Arabidopsis thaliana: one gene and its partners. Each later gene encodes a partner of the first gene's protein in a complex. Each region holds a gene or a part of one and is shown on either strand. Other genes may lie near its edges.

Region 1 (5,057 bases):
TAATACCAGTAATGAGGCTTCTAGCTCCTTGATCTTTGGTAAAATGTCAATATGAGTAAAACAAACAACTTAGCAGTGCTCTATTTTACTTTCCTGCAATGAGATTCCCAAAAACCATGGAAGAGAACTTTAAGAGACAAATTTCCAGCTATTCTACGGGTAAGGATAGCAGGCGTTTGGGCATGTTAATGTTTGCAAATTATGGACACAACAAGGATGGAGAGAACTCCATGAAAAGTTATAAAATCAATACCTCCCCCAATGTCCATGTAATTATTAATTACTCCTATAATCCCTGTAACTGTCACCACATCACCAGGGATACATATGTCCACAAGGTCTTCCATCAGCTCACATTCTACAGTTCTGGGTACCCGTCCTTCTTCGTGGTCTTCAGGCTTTTGCAATTCCTGTACCCTAAAATGCATTTGGACAGCTGGTTAACAATGGTCAGATACATAACTAACAAGGATGAAGTACACAAAATGATGAGACGCAAATAGGAGAACACCTGATTTTCTGAAAATCAATTGTCTGAGCAGAGGACCGGATTGGAGTAAACGTTTTGGACTTGCATCCATGGGAATCACATTTTAGTGGAGGAGAAAACTTTCCATCAGTAAATTCCCGGGTTATGCCAGTTTTGCACTTTCCACAGTCAAAAGCCATCTGTGTGACAAGGGGTTTCACAGTACTAACTTTAACAACAGTCCCATGAACGGTTACAAGCTTTCCTGCAATTTCAAAAGCACACACTCATGCTATGTCTCACTTAAGGTTTTACATCTTATTATTTATTTCGCTAGATGAGACAGTCTACCAATATAAGCTGCTCTCAGGTTTTTCAGGGAGATAGAAGATTCAGGATAATTATGCAGACGAACATTGATCTTCATAACATTCTCAAACTCATTAGTCTCCCATTGATCAAAAAGAACCTGTGAGAGATGACATAAGTCTTCATCTTATGCCAACCAAGAAAACAAACCCCAATGAAAAGTAATAGCATACCTTGTGAACAGCAGCATTCATACATGGGATAACTCCTTTAGGATTATCCTCTAGATTTATGAAAAAGTTCTCGATATCAGATATTTTCTTGAATTGTTGGAGATCAAGAGACAAAGAGAAGGAACCACCACCGTCTTCATTCACCTGGCTCAAGCCATGGAATAAACTTATAAACTGTTTCTCCTATTTTTAGATACTAAGAAGAACTAATTGACGCATAGAGAAGTTGATTAATCGTTTTCTATCTACCCTAATTCTTCATAGAAGTAGAGTGGAAACGAAATCTAGCTAAATAGATTACAATTTCATAACCGGAATTTAATTTCGAAATCAAGCTATACCAAGCTTTATAAAATTCAGATTTATAAACTTTTTACCAGAAATTTGATGATGGCCAAGTGAGGATGTACCTGAGAAACTATGTCTCTACCAGGTGATGCGGAGAATACGCGGATGAGCTCCGCCGTGAGCTGCAACTTATCCTCGTCGATGGCCAAATTCTCGTTGTCCTTGATGTATACAGCTAATATTTTCCCGATGCCGAGAGAATCAATTCCTGTTGATTCAGGGCGACCCGATGCCATGCTTCCACCACCGTAAAATCCCATCACCGCTTAACCCACTGTAACTCGCTCGTCGTCAGTCGCAGAGAAAAATCTCGCTTAGGCCAATGGGTTTTGGCGGGAAAAAGGTAAAGGGCTTTTTGTGATGGGTTTTTGGTAAGTGGGCCAAATGATTGAACCCTAAAACCCAAAGATAACCAAAAGAAAGGATAAAATCAATTAATAAAGCTTTAGTTGTCCGCCACGTGGACTGAACCGCACAAAAATTCACAACAACAAAAAAAAAACGAGAAACCCGTTTCTGGTTCGATTTGACGTCTTCGTTTACTTCATTTCTATAAACGAGCTCCCGCCGCCGGAAAATTCGCTGTTCATCACCACCGTGACCAGAGGTTTGTTGTGAGCACCTTCTCTATCTTTCTTTCTTCACCTGTAGGTTCTGTTATATGTTTTGTTGGGAAATGAACTGAAGAAAATTTCTGATGATTTTCTAGGGTTTTGTTTTGGTACTGCTTATGTCGACGGAATCAGAACGTATTGAATCAGTCTCAGAGGCTAATGCGTCGAGTTTAGAGGTCGGAAATGATCAAATGTCTGAAGCCCTAGCTGGTCAAGCTCAGGAGCTGAAAACAATTGGAGATGATAAAGAAGGATGCGGCAACTTTGCTTCAGCTGGTGATAATGGGATGGAGAAAGTAAATGGATTTACTAATCTTGTTAAGGAAACGGAATCTGTAAATGGAGAGTTAGATCTAGGCACTAGAACCGAAAATGTAGGTGGAGAGAGTAACCAAAGTGACAAGAAGGTTCTAGTAGATAGCGAAGAGGTCATGATGGTAGAGAAAAGGGGGCTTCTTGTTGAGAAGGAAGTGGAACCTGACATGGTCTGTTCTCATGGCGCTGATCTCAGTGATGTGAAGGTTTCTGATGGCAGACTGGATAGTGAAGACCTTGTTCAGGATAGAAAACCCGATGGCTTAGAAAAGCAAGGAACAAAAGTTGAGGACTTGGATGTTGTATGTTTTATGGGTTTAGAACCGCATGAGAGCAAGGATGAGAGTATTTTGGATGATGAAATTGCCCATGTAGCTGCGAAGGTGAAGATCTCTGACTCAGATTTGGTTTGGGCTAAAGTAAGGAGCCATCCGTGGTGGCCTGGACAGGTGTTTGATGCCTCGGCTGCAACAGACAAGGCGAAGAAGCATTTCAAGAAAGGAAGTTTCTTAGTAACTTATTTTGGAGATTGCACCTTTGCTTGGAATGAGGCGTCACGGATTAAGCCTTTTCGACAGCATTTCTCCCAAATGGCAAAGCAGAGTAGTCTACCTGATTTTATTGATGCTATTGATTTTGCGTTAGAAGAGGTATCAAGAAGGATAGAGTTTGGTTTAGCTTGTTCTTGTATCTCAGAGGAAGTCTATCAGAAGATCAAGACTCAGAATGTAATCAATCCTGGAATCCGAGAAGATTCAAGCTCAATACACGGTGGAGACAAGGTCTCAAGTGCAGTCTTCTTTGAACCTGCAAACCTTGTGGGATATGTGAAGCGTTTAGCATGCTCTCCTAGCTATGATGCTACTGATGCGCTGCAGCTTGTAAGTCAGAGAGCACAGTTATTAGCTTTTAATCGCTGGAAAGGCTATACTGACCTCCCCGAGTTTATGACACTCCAGGGGTCAGTAGAGTCTGCACCCAAGATTTCTCCTGCAGAAGAGCAAAGTAGCTTAGTGGAAGTTTCTGATCCTGAACCAACAAAGAGTAAACAAGTTTATACTAAAAGAAGAAAGACAAACCTGCAAACAGAGCAAAGTAGCTTAGTTGAAGTTTCTGATCCTGATAAAGGTGACTGTAAACACGATGGAGTGTTTGAATATGAAGAAACTATTGTTCCAAAGAAAAAGGAGAAAACTTTGGCAGAGTTCATTGCTGAGAAACGCGTAAGCAGACATAATGGGAACACATCACATGAAAAGTCTGGTAATGTTCCGCATTGCGAAAAGAAACGCAAGGTTGTGCAGTCAAAAGTTCCCAAGTCCACGAAAAAGATTAAGGCAAACCTGCAAACAGAGGATCCAGGATCTCCAGTTTCTCCCAAAAATGATCGAAAAAATAATTTGTCTGCTGGTGATAAGATTACACCACAGAAAGCTAGAAAAAGTTTCGGAATTGGGGCAAGCATATTGAAAGTGGCAAACCAGATGCATTGTTCAACACCAACCAGACTCTTACCTTGCAGTGATTCGACCTCCAAAAAGGCAGCCAAGAGCAATGGCAGTGGAAAGAGTCTTCAGGAGAAACCTAAAGCCGAAGCATTATCAGCAAGAGAAATTTCTCCTTCAACTACACTTTCAAGCCCTCACGCTGCTTCTGTTACCAAAACCACAAGTGGGAAATCCAATTCTGTCAGCCTAGACCACAACCTATCCGGAGAACTTGATCAGGTCAGAAAGGAAGCTCCTAGTACTAACCTTGTGGAGGACCCGATGTTGGAGTCTAGAGACTTGAAAGACTCTTCTAAGGAGCAGGTCGTACATGAGGATAAGAAAGAAGCTGCAAATGTAGCGGATGAGAAATCTATTATGGACAGCAATCTAACCGGGGAGAAAATCAGTGGCTTGGACTTGAGAGAGCAGCCGAGTAACAAGAACTGCTCTGGTGGATCTGATAGTTGCAAGGAAGATGTTTCTGCAGAGTAGGAAGGCTCAGCATCAGCGTCTAACCCACTAATACAGATCTTTCTAAAATCGAGTCCGGTTCTTGTTAGTACCCAAGAGTGGAATATACCTTTTAGATGGATTCTCTTCTCTTTCAAAGTTTAGAATTGTATGATTTAATCAGAGTTGAACAAACACTAGTGAGAGAATGTAACAAAGTTATTTTTGTTTTTCCAGATTTGTGCAATTTAATGGTCAATAATTCATTTGAATCCAAAACTAATTATGAATTTGAATAAATAAATTAGAATCCAAACAAAATTAACCTCAACTCGGAGGAAAATAGAATAAGAGATGTCACTGAATAAGTACATAGACATGCCTTCAAATATCAAAAAAAATTCATAAAATGTAGTAGAGCTCAAGACCTAGGCTTCTCCTTCTTTTCCTTGAAAAGGGCCAAGAGTGAGACACCAGAGACCTTCACCACTTTGAACCTAACTCCGGGAATATCTCCGACGGCATGACCTTTACGCCCAAATCCAGCAATCAACACCTCGTCCTACACACAGTATCAATGAATGAGTAATTGGTAAGAATATAATTTGATTACTCATTCAAAAGTAGATGTCAATCTAACTTACATTTTCTTCAATGTAGTTCAAACAACCATCATTGGGGACAAAGGCAGCAATCTTTTTACCATTCTTGATCAACTGAACTCTAGCACACTTACGGATAGCAGAGTTAGGCTGCTTAGCCTCAATACCACTGCATAATCAAACACAGAGTCTCATCAAAGTCAAGATCTATACTACTAACAAAATCA
Region 2 (6,063 bases), on another chromosome or scaffold:
ATTACAACTCTAATTGCAAAGGATCGCCGATGAGTGATCAAGGCCAAGTTAGGAGGAGAAACACCGATTCCGAGTCCGCGAAGCTCGGAAATTTGCGTTGTTGCCGCAGTACCGAAGTATTGGAATCCTCATCCTAGTTGCCACGAGCATGATTATTCAAGGTCCGTCCACAAAACCTCAAAGATAGAAGTCTACAGCTTCTCCGAGAACTAACGCAAAAACGAACAAGCAAACATGAACAAGCAAACATGATTAAGCCTAATGTTCTGAATTTGATAATTGAATTTGAAATTGGCCAAATATCTTAATTAACTCTTATACATTATCTGGATACATTTTTTGTGATCAATCAAATGGTTGAATTTGTTCATTGTCTTAGAACATTTATGTTGTTGGATCACTAATTAGCATTACGTAAATGATTCAGTCTCGACGAGACTCCCTTTCTAATAAAAATCTCCAACCTCCCTCTTTGTATGGCTTCATCAAACATTCAATACTCGTCGAAAGGATTTTGAAAATTTTGTTTGTAATATAATAAAATTAGTGGGCTTTCAAGAGAGTGATAAACCAAAAGCCCACTAATGGGTTTAGTATCAAAGTTGGTAAACTTTAAAAAAGTCTACACAAAAACATAGAACATCGATCTAATTCTGTCTACCCTACGACAAGATCATAGTATCACCAAGACATTAACCTCTCAAAATACTTTTGTTATGTTTTGCAGAAACCATAAATATCCTAAAACCTGTCCTGAAAGTTCTCAACCAACAAAATAAAAACATAAAATCATAATCCTAAGAAGATCTCATCTCTATCACTTTCTCCAACAAATTTACCATCTCACCTTCAAGTTTCACTTTCACTTCTTCAGTCATTCCTCCTTCGCATCCATCAAGTAACAATTTCATCTCATCCAGCTTTTTCTTCAGATATTCCACCTCCATTGTCGTCTCTGCAACTTCAGCTTCAGTTTTCTTCTCCTCTGTTCTCTCATTTGGATACTTGAGTCTGAATTTCACCGTCGAATTAGAAGTAAACGGACATTTCTCTAGTGAGGATTCAAAGGCTTTTTCTCCATCAGCTACATCCAAGAAAGCCACATGGGCAGAGAAGTTGTTGTCGACCGTATCAGTTCTCTCTTTGTCCAAAGCTCCAAATTTTTCATATATTTCAATCAGATCTTCCTTTTTAGGCAAACTTGAACCAGGACCAAATGTAACATATAGCTCAGCTCCTGAAAATTCCGTCTCAGTTTCTTTCTTTTTAGACTTTCCCTCTCTCTTCTTTTTCTTCTTCTTCTCGGGTTTCTCAGTCTCATTCGGGACTTCTTCTTCGTCGTGTTTAGGCTTCTTCCGTTTTCTCTCTTTCTTGGTTGATTCAACAGACTCTTTCCGGGTTTCTTCTTCTTCAACTGCTTCTGCCTTCTTCTTTGATTCAGGATTCTTACGTTTTCTCTCTTTTTTAGTTGACTCACTTGGCTCTTTCTGAGTTTCTTCTTCTCCATCTGATTGCTTCTTTGATTCAGACTTCTTACGTTTTCTCTCTTTCTTTGTTGACTCATTAGCCTCTTTCTGGGTTTCTTCTCCTTCACCCCCTTCCTTCTTTGATTCAGACTTCTTACGTTTTCGCTCTTTCTTCATTTTCCCATGCTTGTCTGTCTCATTCTCTTCTTTACCAGTTACCTCTATCTCCTCTGCTTTCTGCTTTGCTTTACCCTTCTTATCTTTCTTCTCTTTCCCCTTAGTTACAGGCTTACCCATCTCACTCAGTTCTTCCTTTTCTTTATCCGAACTATCATAGCTCCCTAAGAACTTGTGATTGGCTCCATCATGATATGTGAAGCTTCTATAGATGGTCATGAATTCTCTTACCATGTCTCTTGAGCTACTGTCTTTTGGATATTGTGTGCCAAGAGCAGCTACACGAATTAGATCCTGCATTTCCTTTGGTGTAGCTCCCAACCTCAGAAAGTCGACGGCATTACTAAGTTCCCTAGACAGTTCTTCTTGACCTAATCCATTATCAGATGATGGTTCACAAGGTTTATCCAACGTATCTTCTTCCACTTCCATGAGGCTATCACTAGCATCAGTCACTCGCTCGTCTACTTGGCTCTGACTTGAAACTTTCGAAGATTCAGATTCGATTGTACTCTTTTTTCTTCCTTTCCGTGAAAAATCTGACAAGAAATCAGGCGAGAGATACTTGCTCTTCTTCCTCTCTCTCTTTGATGTTTGTGTAGCGGTCTCGCCATTTTCAGTACTCCTTTCAACGACTGAATCATCAAACCTTACCTTTTTCCGCAGCGAAGCTAATGAAGTTGAATCGATATTTATTTCCAGATCTGAAATCTCTTTTTCCTCAGACTCTTCTTTGTCTCCACTCCCATCATCATCGCCATCATCCACATCCATTTTCTTCTTCTTCCTCGAAGTTTTGCCTTTGCTACTTTCTACCACTTGCTTGTTACCACCGTCTTCAATTGTAGCTACTTCACTCTTTCTTCTCCTCCACAGTGCAGTAGTAGTTACATTTTCAAGATCACCATTAACTTCATCATGGCGTTTTGTTTTCTTCCTACCCGACTTAACATTTGACTTTACATCTCCATCCGCAGGTTCTGTCTCAAACCTAACCTTAGCAGCTGACTCCTTCTCAATTATTTCAGTAATGCTTTTCTCCTTCCTTCTGTGGGGAAGCCTATGATCAGGAAAACCAGAACACTTCTCTAACGATCTCTGAAGAGACGACGACTCTTCATGATCCAAAGCTGCTACTTCTTCTACTCTAGACCGTTTAGCACGCCATTGTAACCCATCATTAACATTCTTTTCTTCATCATCATCATCATCATCATTGTTCTTGTCTTCAAGTCCTGGAACTGATTGAGGTTCATGATACTCAGTCAAACCATATCCTCTATTAGACCGATAAAACGCAGATACCTTCCTTTTCAATATCTCCAGCTCAAGCAAGCCACTAAAACTAACAGTCTCTGCAAAACTCTTAACATCTTTAAGAATCTCTCCATGTTTACCAATCAACAACGACGAAATCATTTCCCGTCTCACATCACGCACCAAAACACCTTCTTTAATCCCAGCATTGTTAACTAAAGGACTATCAAACTCATGCTTCTTCTCCTCAGCACAATCACATACCAATACACGCTCAATATGTCTACCAATTTCTTCAACCGCCTCTTCCACTGCACCTAGAAAACTCCGCGAATTACTCACTTTCGAACACTCTTTGAAACTCTCTGCAAACGGTTTCAACTGCGACGCACCGCACCAAGCAAATGTCCCGTCTCCGAAACACGCCACAAGCAATTTCCCTTTTTGCTTTATCTTCAAAGCCAAATCTGAAGCATCTGATGGATCATAAATCTGACCTGGCCACCATGGATGATTCTTAATTTTTCCCCACACAAAATCTCCTACACAGTATCCATGCTCTTCTTCTTCTTCTTCTTCTTCTTCTTCTTCTTCTTCTTCTTCATCTTCGCCATCTTCTTCTTCCTCTTCTTCTTCTTCTTCTTCTTCTTCTTCTTCTTCCACATCTTCCTTCAATTTGAGCAAGGAAGAAACTCCATTCATAACACAATCTTCAATAACTCCAGATTCGTTCAAATTCTTCTCATTTTTCTCGTCAACATCAACAACAACATCAGACTTTTTCTCACCGTTGTCGGAAACCCTAACACCGTTCTCTTGAACAACACCATCATCTTTTAGGGTTTTCTCAGCTGATTCAATCTCTGCAGAACAAGGCTTAGGTCCCGCATCTTCTCCGATTCCCAAAACAACTTCAATTTCCATTTTTCTTCCCGACTGTAGAAAAAAAAAATCACAAAACGACAAACAAATCAGAAAAAAAAATCAACCTAACTATTTACACACAAACCCAACAATATCTCCCAAAAAAACAAATTTTGAAATTAGGTTAACTCTTACGAAAAACCTAGAAAAACGAAAATATAAAGTAACAAATTTTTTACCTGATTTTGAGCTCCGAGAGAAACGAAACAACAACTTTTCGAACAGCGACCGAAGAATCTTCAAGAAAAAACACTTCTTTGTAAGAAGAACAAAGACACTCTCAGAATCTCATGAGAAAAATCCTCTCTTTTTTTTCTCTCTGGATTTTGATTTGAGAGAAGATGAAACGCGGCGCAAAAATTTCCTTTCGGAGAAATTTAAGGGTACTTTCGTAATTAATGAGTTTTTTTTTTTGCTTACTTATCTGCTTTTTTTTGCCCCAGGAATAAGACAACGTTTTTAATTTATTTCCCTAAATCAGCCGTGTCGCTATCACAATAAACTGACTAGCTACGAGAGTGTAAAATACAGCTTACTCGCTATGTGTATAAGAACATCAGTGTCTAGATTCTTACGTGGCGGAAATCGGATAGAGAGTAGATAACACGTGTATATGAACGCGAGTGGGATGAAATAAGAGAGACGCGTCACATGCTTTCGATGATTGACAGCTGTAATATGCTTAGACGGCTAATAAGCAGAGTAATAAAAGAATGGAGATTTTGAATTTGGTATTTGAAACGACACAAATATTTGCCGTTTCTCGGCCCAGTCCTTTTCTTTTTTTGCTCGGCCCAAACTTATTATTACACAACACCAGTATCTTAAATTTAGTGCTTGTTGATTAAAGTCTTTTATTAAAACCTCAATCCTAAAGAGTAGGAATCTACCAAGTAAAAGGAAAATCAAAGATCTTTTCTTTTTCATTATTCAACTGACCAACGGTATTTTGATTTTAGACACTGATTATTTTTTCTTTTTCATTCACTGCATTACTTAAGTGGAGTGGTAACGAAAATCTTGGTTATATATATTGAATTGAAAAATATTTGAGTTGAACCCTTATATTCACTTTTTTTATTTTATTCAATTAAAATTTGACATTTAATAATAATAAAAAAATTAATTTACTTATAAAATCTAATTTGTTACTAAAACAAAATTATTTATCGGTTTGAGTTTTATTAAAAAAAGATAAATGTTTAGATTTTATGATTAAACTAGATTTAGTCATTGAATCAATCTTCACACTAATTCATATTCAATCTTTTTGGTCAACTTATGTTACACCATATAAGAAAATCGCTTAAATACATCTTTTGACCCAGTTTAAATGTTTTAATTTTTTTCGTTGAGACTATATAACATGTGAAATCTGTTAGGATAACATTTGATACATCTAAACGTAATTTTCTTGTTGTGTTAATTTTACACGAACAACACGTTCTCATGACATGATTATATGTAGTATCGACGGCGAACCAATATGAATCAACTGTATAATCTGTATTAGAACTGTAATACCAAGTAATAGTGATATATGAATCATATATTTCCCACTACTTAATCATAGTTTGAAAGAAAGCTCAATGACCTTGAACCCAACTTGTGTAAATATTAGTCCATCTCCAAAGCCCAAGGCCCAAGGCAACGTAACAGACGGATCATTACAGTGCCAAGGGAATTCAGACACGTTTAAAATAATTCCGAATTGTAAGTTGTGAACGACCCACCATGTTATCTTTTCATTTATGATTCACATGGGGAATTCACAATTCTCACACGAAAAACATGTGGGCAAAACTAAAAAGACATGCAACCTAATTCAACAAAATGTAATGGTTCATATTTGTACTTGCATAGAATGCATATATAATATGATTTGAGGATGGGTCAAAACTCCAAACGAAATGATTTGAGCATATGTTCTAGAGATTCAGTCAGAATATGAATGCTATACAATCTAAACACTATAAAGCAACCTGGTCATGAGGTGATCTACGTACTCTCTTTGGACGTGAAAAATTATATCAACGGTTTGTCTACTTTATAACTTTTTTATTTATCAGTAAATATGGAAACATTGATTAATTAAGATCCAAGTCTCTTGATGTGATGAGAACATATGATAGCTAAACCAATGCCTCTACTTTTTCTATCTATCCAAATCTAGATTGTGCACCTTAATCTTTTCTACAATATTTATACGCATATCATAAAAATGATCTTAATCTACATG
Region 3 (6,150 bases), on another chromosome or scaffold:
TACAACGTTAAAAGAAGATAAAGATATGAACACATTTTATATCAAAGGCCTTAATAAGTATATTTGGGCCTATTAAATCGAACCTTTAAACAGAAAAACTGGCCCATAAAATAACCGTGGTTGTGTTATAACAAGCCGGTTAAGTACAAACCGGAAGCGACTCGTGTTTGTTTAGTGAAGCGATCAAGCGAGCGAGATCAGTCAAATAGCTTTTTCATTGTTCCTCAGATCGAAGAAGAAGAAGAAGAGCTTAGCAACAATGGTAAATCTAGATCCGTCCAAGTGCTTTCAGTCACAGCTAATTTGATCTCTCTATTTGTTGCTTTTACGATTTCTGATTTTGTTTGGTGTGTTTGTGCTCGTTCCCGGTGAGAAGGCGGCGAAACCGATTGCGAGTCCGATTCCGGTGGCGCTGTATCCGACTTTATCGGTGTTCACTCTTGCGATTGGTCTCGTCATTACCGCTATCTTCTTCATGTAAGCTAATAATTGATCTGATCTCTAGATCTTCGAAATTGCCCCTTCTTGTTCTCAATTTATATTACTTGATGTCAGATTAGTGAAACAGTTCCTGATAGATTCGATCTACCTATGATTTATCTTGATTTTCATAAAGCTTGATTAGTGTGTGATAGTCATGACTAGGTTCTGAACTATGAATCGTGTGAGGCTCTCCTCTTGTTTGTTCACTGTGTATGAAGCTTGACCAACATTGTTACTGCTTATATATATGGTTTGGTCACAATGCTTTCTCAATTGCTATTCTCTAGAGATAGGTCTTCTAAAGCTCCTGAAGCTACATGTTCATCACTTTCATGATCTCTTTGCTAGATTAATCTGTTGAAATATGTGCCTTTCTTATTACTAAAGTTTCTGGGTAAAAAGTAAGAAAGTCATGGGACTCATCTAGTAACCTTTTGGAAATGTGTGAGCTCTATATACTATCATGATATAAAGACTCAAAATTTATCAATGATAAGGTGATAGTCTATGGAAATGGAATCAGTACTCTAATAGTTTCACTGAATATGACAAAATGACTGATTATCGATTTAGTTAAGATACAAGAAAGTTAGATTTGTATGATTTTCATTTAAGCGTGGAGCATTTACCTTTCAAAGGGTGGCAAGTTTTAGGAGATATGATTCGGTTTGTTAAAGTAATGTGCGTCTGGGCTACGAGAGCATGTGGGTTAGCCTCGAGTCAAAACTTTAAGATAGACTTGAACCATTCATTTTAGCTTCTTTGTAATAAGGTCATATTGGACTCTTTTGGTATTCATTGTGCTGGTTTAGATTCATTCAGCCCAACAAGGAGTGATCAAAACTTACCCTGTCATAACATTTGTGTTGCAGCTATGAAGCTACATCATCCAGGAAAAACCGAAGCGTCGGAAAGGAGCTCGCTACTTCAGCAGTTGCATCTGTCTTCTTGGTATGGATTTTCTTCTTCACCCTCTTGACTTAAGTTTAAGAGTTTTCTTTAAATCTAATGTTTGGTTAAAATCTGTTTCTGTGTTATTTGCAGGGTTTTGGATCGTTGTTTTTGCTACTTGCTAGTGGTGTTTATGTCTGATCCTTCTTCCTCAATACTATTCCCAACTAGTTCAAAGACAAAAAAAACAGATTTATCTTTGTTCAAGTAAAATCAGAGTTATGAATGTTAAGACTTGAGAAGTAGCCTTTAAACACCAAGTTACAATTAAATTATCTTCTTCTTTTGAACGCTAAACCGAGTTTTGGTTTCAATTTTCACCGCCTTTAGAACAGCGTTTGCGTTGTTAAGTTGATCAGTTAGTAACTTTCTACCAAGATTTAGAAGAAAGCTTTACTCAAATTTTGTAATGGGAAGATACTGATTATACTCTTTAGTGTGAAGAAATCATTTTAATTCGCTAATTTAAGTATTTGCCTATTGGGTATTTGCCGGGACGAAGTTTACTCCACGTGGCATAAATAATAATATTATAAAAAAAACAAAGGAGAGTAGAGAGAAAACGAGAGAAAAGAAGGAAATGGAAAGCGAAGCAGCAGCGACTGTTCAAGCCACCAGGCCGAGAAGAGCACCTAGGACTCCGGTGACAGCCATTTTGACGGATAAGAGAAGACGGAAACCTAAGAGCAACAACGAGTCTCAGTTACCATTTTTGCTACAGCAGAGTCAAAAGGCCACCGTTGACGACACTTACTCTCAGTGGAAGACTCTTCTTCCCATTCTCTATGATTCGTTTGTTAATCATACCCTCGTCTGGCCCTCTCTCTCTTGCAGGTCTGTGTTTTTTTTTATAGGTTTTCTGTTTCTAGGGTTTTCGATCTTTGGTTTTGGAGAAAGTTGGTTCTTTTTTGGGAAATAAAAATTCTAGCTTTGTGCTTTTGGTCAGGCGATTGAGTTACATTTCCGTTTCAGCTAGTGAAATACTCATAGATTGAGAGTTTTTCTTAGCTGGTTTCTGGAATTTGTGAGATTAGGACATGTTCTAGTTCGGGTTTTTAATTTAGCTCAGTCTCCATGCTTTTCTGTGTTTCTTTCTCTTTTAGGCTTTTAGCTCATTAGCTATCTGATGTTTCCATTTTTGAACCTCTGGAACTTGTTTTGGTAGGAAAATGATGTCGTTGATAACACTTGACCAACTCGGTTTAGGTGTTCTGTTTTGTTACTTTTTGGTTTCAGATGTTTAGCTGTGCTACGATTTAGTGAAGTGTTTAGCTTTTGTGTAAAGAGGTACGATTTCGTTGTAATCCTGTTGTTTGATTTGAGCAGATGGGGGCCACAGCTTGAGCAAGCAGGTTCTAAGACTCAACGTCTCTATCTCTCGGAACAAGTGAGTTTGCTCTTGTTCTTGTGGTTTGTACATTTTTTCTTGATGAAAAATATCCAAAGTTTGTTTACTGCTCCTTATGTTTACCGTTTTTTCTTGGTTCTGTCATTAGACGAATGGCAGTGTGCCTAATACTTTGGTCATAGCCAATTGCGAAACTGTTAATAGGCAGGTAATTAGTTTTTCTCTACCAAAGCTTGTGCTTTTGTCCTTGTGTTACTCTCTGCTGAGATGAAATTATTGAAATACCGTTTCTTTATATGCTTTCAGCTTAATGAAAAGGCACACTCTCCATTTGTGAAGAAGTACAAGACCATCATCCACCCTGGAGAGGTGTGATATTCCTGTATTCTCATTGTTTTTTCTTAGATGGATTTACTGAATCTGCATTTCGTTTAGGACTTGAGTGCTGAAAAAGATTTTGTTTTGTGTACCCTTCATTCATCGCAGGTCAACAGAATTAGGGAACTCCCTCAAAATAGCAAGATTGTAGCTACTCACACCGACAGTCCTGATGTAAGTTCTGCTTTCTCGGGTCATCAGCGTGACAAAAAAAAGGCTTTCGTTATTCAGTATCCTTGTTTTTGAATAGTTCCAGTTTCAGTCATGCAAGTATGATATATTGGTTTTCAGATTCTCATTTGGAACACTGAGACTCAACCAGACCGGTATGCTGTGCTTGGAGCTCCAGATTCTCGTCCAGATTTGGTATGCTCTTGTGAGAATTTTCGTTATGTTGTCTCACTGAGTTAAACAACCTGCTTGTGCATCATATTAACAATCGAAAGAGCTACTCTTTTTGCATCATTTGAACAACTTTTATTTTCAGTTACTAATTGGGCACCAGGATGATGCTGAATTTGCTCTTGCAATGTGCCCAACCGAACCTTTTGTTCTCTCTGGAGGTTTGTATCAGTTCTATTTTTGTGTCATATCTTGTGGTTTGCAAGTTTCTCATCAAAGATTCTTCCGTGCAGGCAAGGACAAGTCCGTTATTTTGTGGAATATCCAAGACCATATCACAATGGCTGGTTCGGATTCCAAATCCCCTGGATCCAGCTTCAAGCAGACTGGTGAAGGTAGTGATAAAACTGGTGGTCCTTCTGTTGGCCCTCGAGGCATATATAATGGCCACAAAGATACTGTTGAAGACGTGGCATTCTGTCCATCTAGGTAACTTCTTGGGACAGTCTCCTTTTTTAATAAGCTCTTAAGTTTACACCCAAATGCAGACCTACTCAGAATTTTCTGATGCTTTTGGTATAAAAAAATTGGTAATTTTTTGTTTTGTCCTACAGTGCACAAGAATTCTGCAGTGTTGGTGACGATTCTTGCCTTATGCTATGGGACGCAAGAACTGGCACTAGTCCTGCCATGAAGGTACCTCTTTTTTTTAGCCAGATCGACATTTGAGGTTTAACTTTTTGGTCTTGTTTCAGATTCCGTCTGTTTCTTCTTGTGCGCTGGCAGGTTGAGAAGGCACATGATGCTGATCTTCACTGTGTCGATTGGAATCCTCATGACAATAATCTGATCCTGACTGGGTACTGATTTCACAAACTTAAATACTTGTCCAAAAGTACAGAGATGCTACTCGTCCTCTCACTCTACGCTTCTACATCACTTTTCCAGGTCAGCAGATAACACTGTCCGTGTGTTTGACCGCCGAAACCTTACCTCAAATGGAGTTGGTTCACCTGTTTACAAATTTGAAGGCCACAGAGCTGCTGTTCTTTGTGTTCAGGTTTCAACAACATGCCACCACCTCTGTTTTTTTTTTTTGTTTTTTTCTTTTCATATTATTTGTCCTGTAAACCTATCCCCAATGACATTGCTTCGTTATCAATTCAGTGGTCTCCTGATAAATCATCTGTTTTTGGGAGTTCTGCAGAAGATGGTCTCTTGAACATATGGGATTGTGATAGGGTTAGTACAATTTCTCACATTCACATTTAAAACTATTCTCTTACTTTCAAGCTCACCATATTAACATATATGTGTGCACCAGGTTGGCAAGAAGTCTGAGCGTGCAACCAAAACTCCTGATGGGCTTTTCTTCCAGCATGCTGGTCACAGGTTCTCAAGACTTAATTCTAATTCACTTGCTTGCCTTTCCCTTTTACTCTCTTCAGTGGAATCTATAATTTCCTCGTGTATATCTTCTTAGGGACAAAGTGGTCGACTTCCACTGGAGCCTATTGAACCCTTGGACTATTGTCAGTGTTTCTGATAATTGTGAGAGTATCGGTGGAGGTGGTACATTGCAGGTACTTTTAAATGTCTTGCTACATTTACTCTGGAACCTACCTATGATTAACTTTCTCGGTAAAAATGAAAACTTTTGATTTGTAAATTAATGCAGATATGGCGGATGAGTGACTTGATTTACAGACCGGAAGATGAAGTCCTGACAGAGCTAGAGAAATTCAAGTCACATGTTTTCACATGTACCTCCAAGTCTTGAGGAAGCAATCCCATCATGTCTATTAGTATTAGTAAGTTGCTGGGGTTTAGTGTCAGTTTTTGCGAGGAAAATCAGTTTACTTATGCGATTTAGGTGTTATTTTTGCGGAATATTACTTGGTTTATGTAGGCCAGTAATTCAACATATTGGTAGATTTAGGACTTCCGGAATCTTGTATGGTACTTGATCCTGTTTCTTCAGGTTAATCCTAGGCACCTAACTTGCTTGTATTTTCAACTTTTTTTTTTGTGAATCCAAACTTGGTTAAGCAAGACCAAACTAAAACAACAGATTGAATCAGTGAAATCCAAATCTCAAGTGCTTGACATTTGACTCATGTGTCCCTGAACCGTTCAGTTCTACTTCCAACAACAAAAGCAGATAGAAAATCGTCGCTCTTCACCTCTATTCGGTTTCATTTCAAGCAAGATTGGTTCTGCGTAAACCGGGTTGAACCGGATCAACTCATTAGATCTACAAAGGATTTGTGCAATCTTAAGACCTGACATCTATACAAACTTGCAGACAATTGAACTTAATACTCTTGGGATTGTGGGGTGAGGGAGTTAGGTAGCAACATTTGAGGAAATTTATTGCATAATATCTTCTAGTAGATTCTCTCTCTCTCTCTCTCTCTCTCTCTCTCTCTCTCTCTCTCTCTCTCTCTCTCTCTAGTTAAAAACATCTAGGTACTAAGCCTTTCATGGGGTTTTGATTTATCTGACATTAAGTACACTACTCATTTATAGATATAAGACCATCTCATAGGGGCTTCTCTAGGTTTTGTTGGATTCTCATCATTGATTCATTGCAGCTATAACCAAACAAAACCTTCTTTGTCGACGCATACAAACACACACATATATAC

Evidence for each region. The genes of interacting proteins can lie anywhere in the genome.
Region 2: AT3G09670 (region 1) and AT5G40340 share a complex: the UniProt entries of both Arabidopsis thaliana proteins name them as parts of the PRC2 (polycomb repressive complex 2) complex.
Region 3: AT3G09670 (region 1) and NFC5 share a complex: the UniProt entries of both Arabidopsis thaliana proteins name them as parts of the PRC2 (polycomb repressive complex 2) complex.

The regions. Positions count from the first base shown.
Region 1 is NC_003074.8:2,964,548-2,969,604, forward strand, and holds AT3G09670 (Tudor/PWWP/MBT superfamily protein), read left to right. Parts: upstream 1-1,653; 5' UTR 1,654-1,966; exon of another isoform or gene 1,967-1,973; intron 1,974-2,068; 5' UTR 2,069-2,089; coding exon 2,090-4,270; 3' UTR 4,271-4,511; downstream 4,512-5,057. Other genes in the region: MCM8 (minichromosome maintenance 8), read right to left, coding at 254-417, 512-734, 821-938, 1,012-1,155, 1,422-1,619; AT3G09680 (Ribosomal protein S12/S23 family protein), read right to left, coding at 4,650-4,790, 4,873-4,999. UniProt on the Arabidopsis thaliana protein: Together with PDP1, PDP3 and PDP6, interacts with MSI4/FVE and MSI5 to suppress FLC, MAF4 and MAF5 expression by regulating the function of the PRC2 complex and modulating H3K27me3 level, thereby promoting flowering.
Region 2 is NC_003076.8:16,130,857-16,136,919, forward strand, and holds AT5G40340 (Tudor/PWWP/MBT superfamily protein), read right to left. Parts: upstream 4,538-6,063; 5' UTR 4,004-4,537; intron 3,837-4,003; 5' UTR 3,825-3,836; coding exon 798-3,824; 3' UTR 541-797; downstream 1-540. UniProt on the Arabidopsis thaliana protein: Together with PDP1, PDP2 and PDP6, interacts with MSI4/FVE and MSI5 to suppress FLC, MAF4 and MAF5 expression by regulating the function of the PRC2 complex and modulating H3K27me3 level, thereby promoting flowering.
Region 3 is NC_003075.7:14,558,387-14,564,536, reverse strand, and holds NFC5 (nucleosome/chromatin assembly factor group C5), read left to right. Parts: upstream 1-1,935; 5' UTR 1,936-2,014; coding exon 2,015-2,268; intron 2,269-2,760; coding exon 2,761-2,821; intron 2,822-2,930; coding exon 2,931-2,990; intron 2,991-3,088; coding exon 3,089-3,151; intron 3,152-3,268; coding exon 3,269-3,334; intron 3,335-3,451; coding exon 3,452-3,526; intron 3,527-3,647; coding exon 3,648-3,723; intron 3,724-3,795; coding exon 3,796-3,991; intron 3,992-4,116; coding exon 4,117-4,198; intron 4,199-4,288; coding exon 4,289-4,362; intron 4,363-4,450; coding exon 4,451-4,562; intron 4,563-4,669; coding exon 4,670-4,744; intron 4,745-4,826; coding exon 4,827-4,894; coding exon of another isoform or gene 4,895-4,985; coding exon 4,986-5,085; intron 5,086-5,180; coding exon 5,181-5,282; 3' UTR 5,283-5,610; downstream 5,611-6,150. Other genes in the region: AT4G29735 (uncharacterized protein), read left to right, coding at 260-262, 377-477, 1,099-1,164, 1,356-1,434, 1,528-1,575. UniProt on the Arabidopsis thaliana protein: Core histone-binding subunit that may target chromatin assembly factors, chromatin remodeling factors and histone deacetylases to their histone substrates in a manner that is regulated by nucleosomal DNA.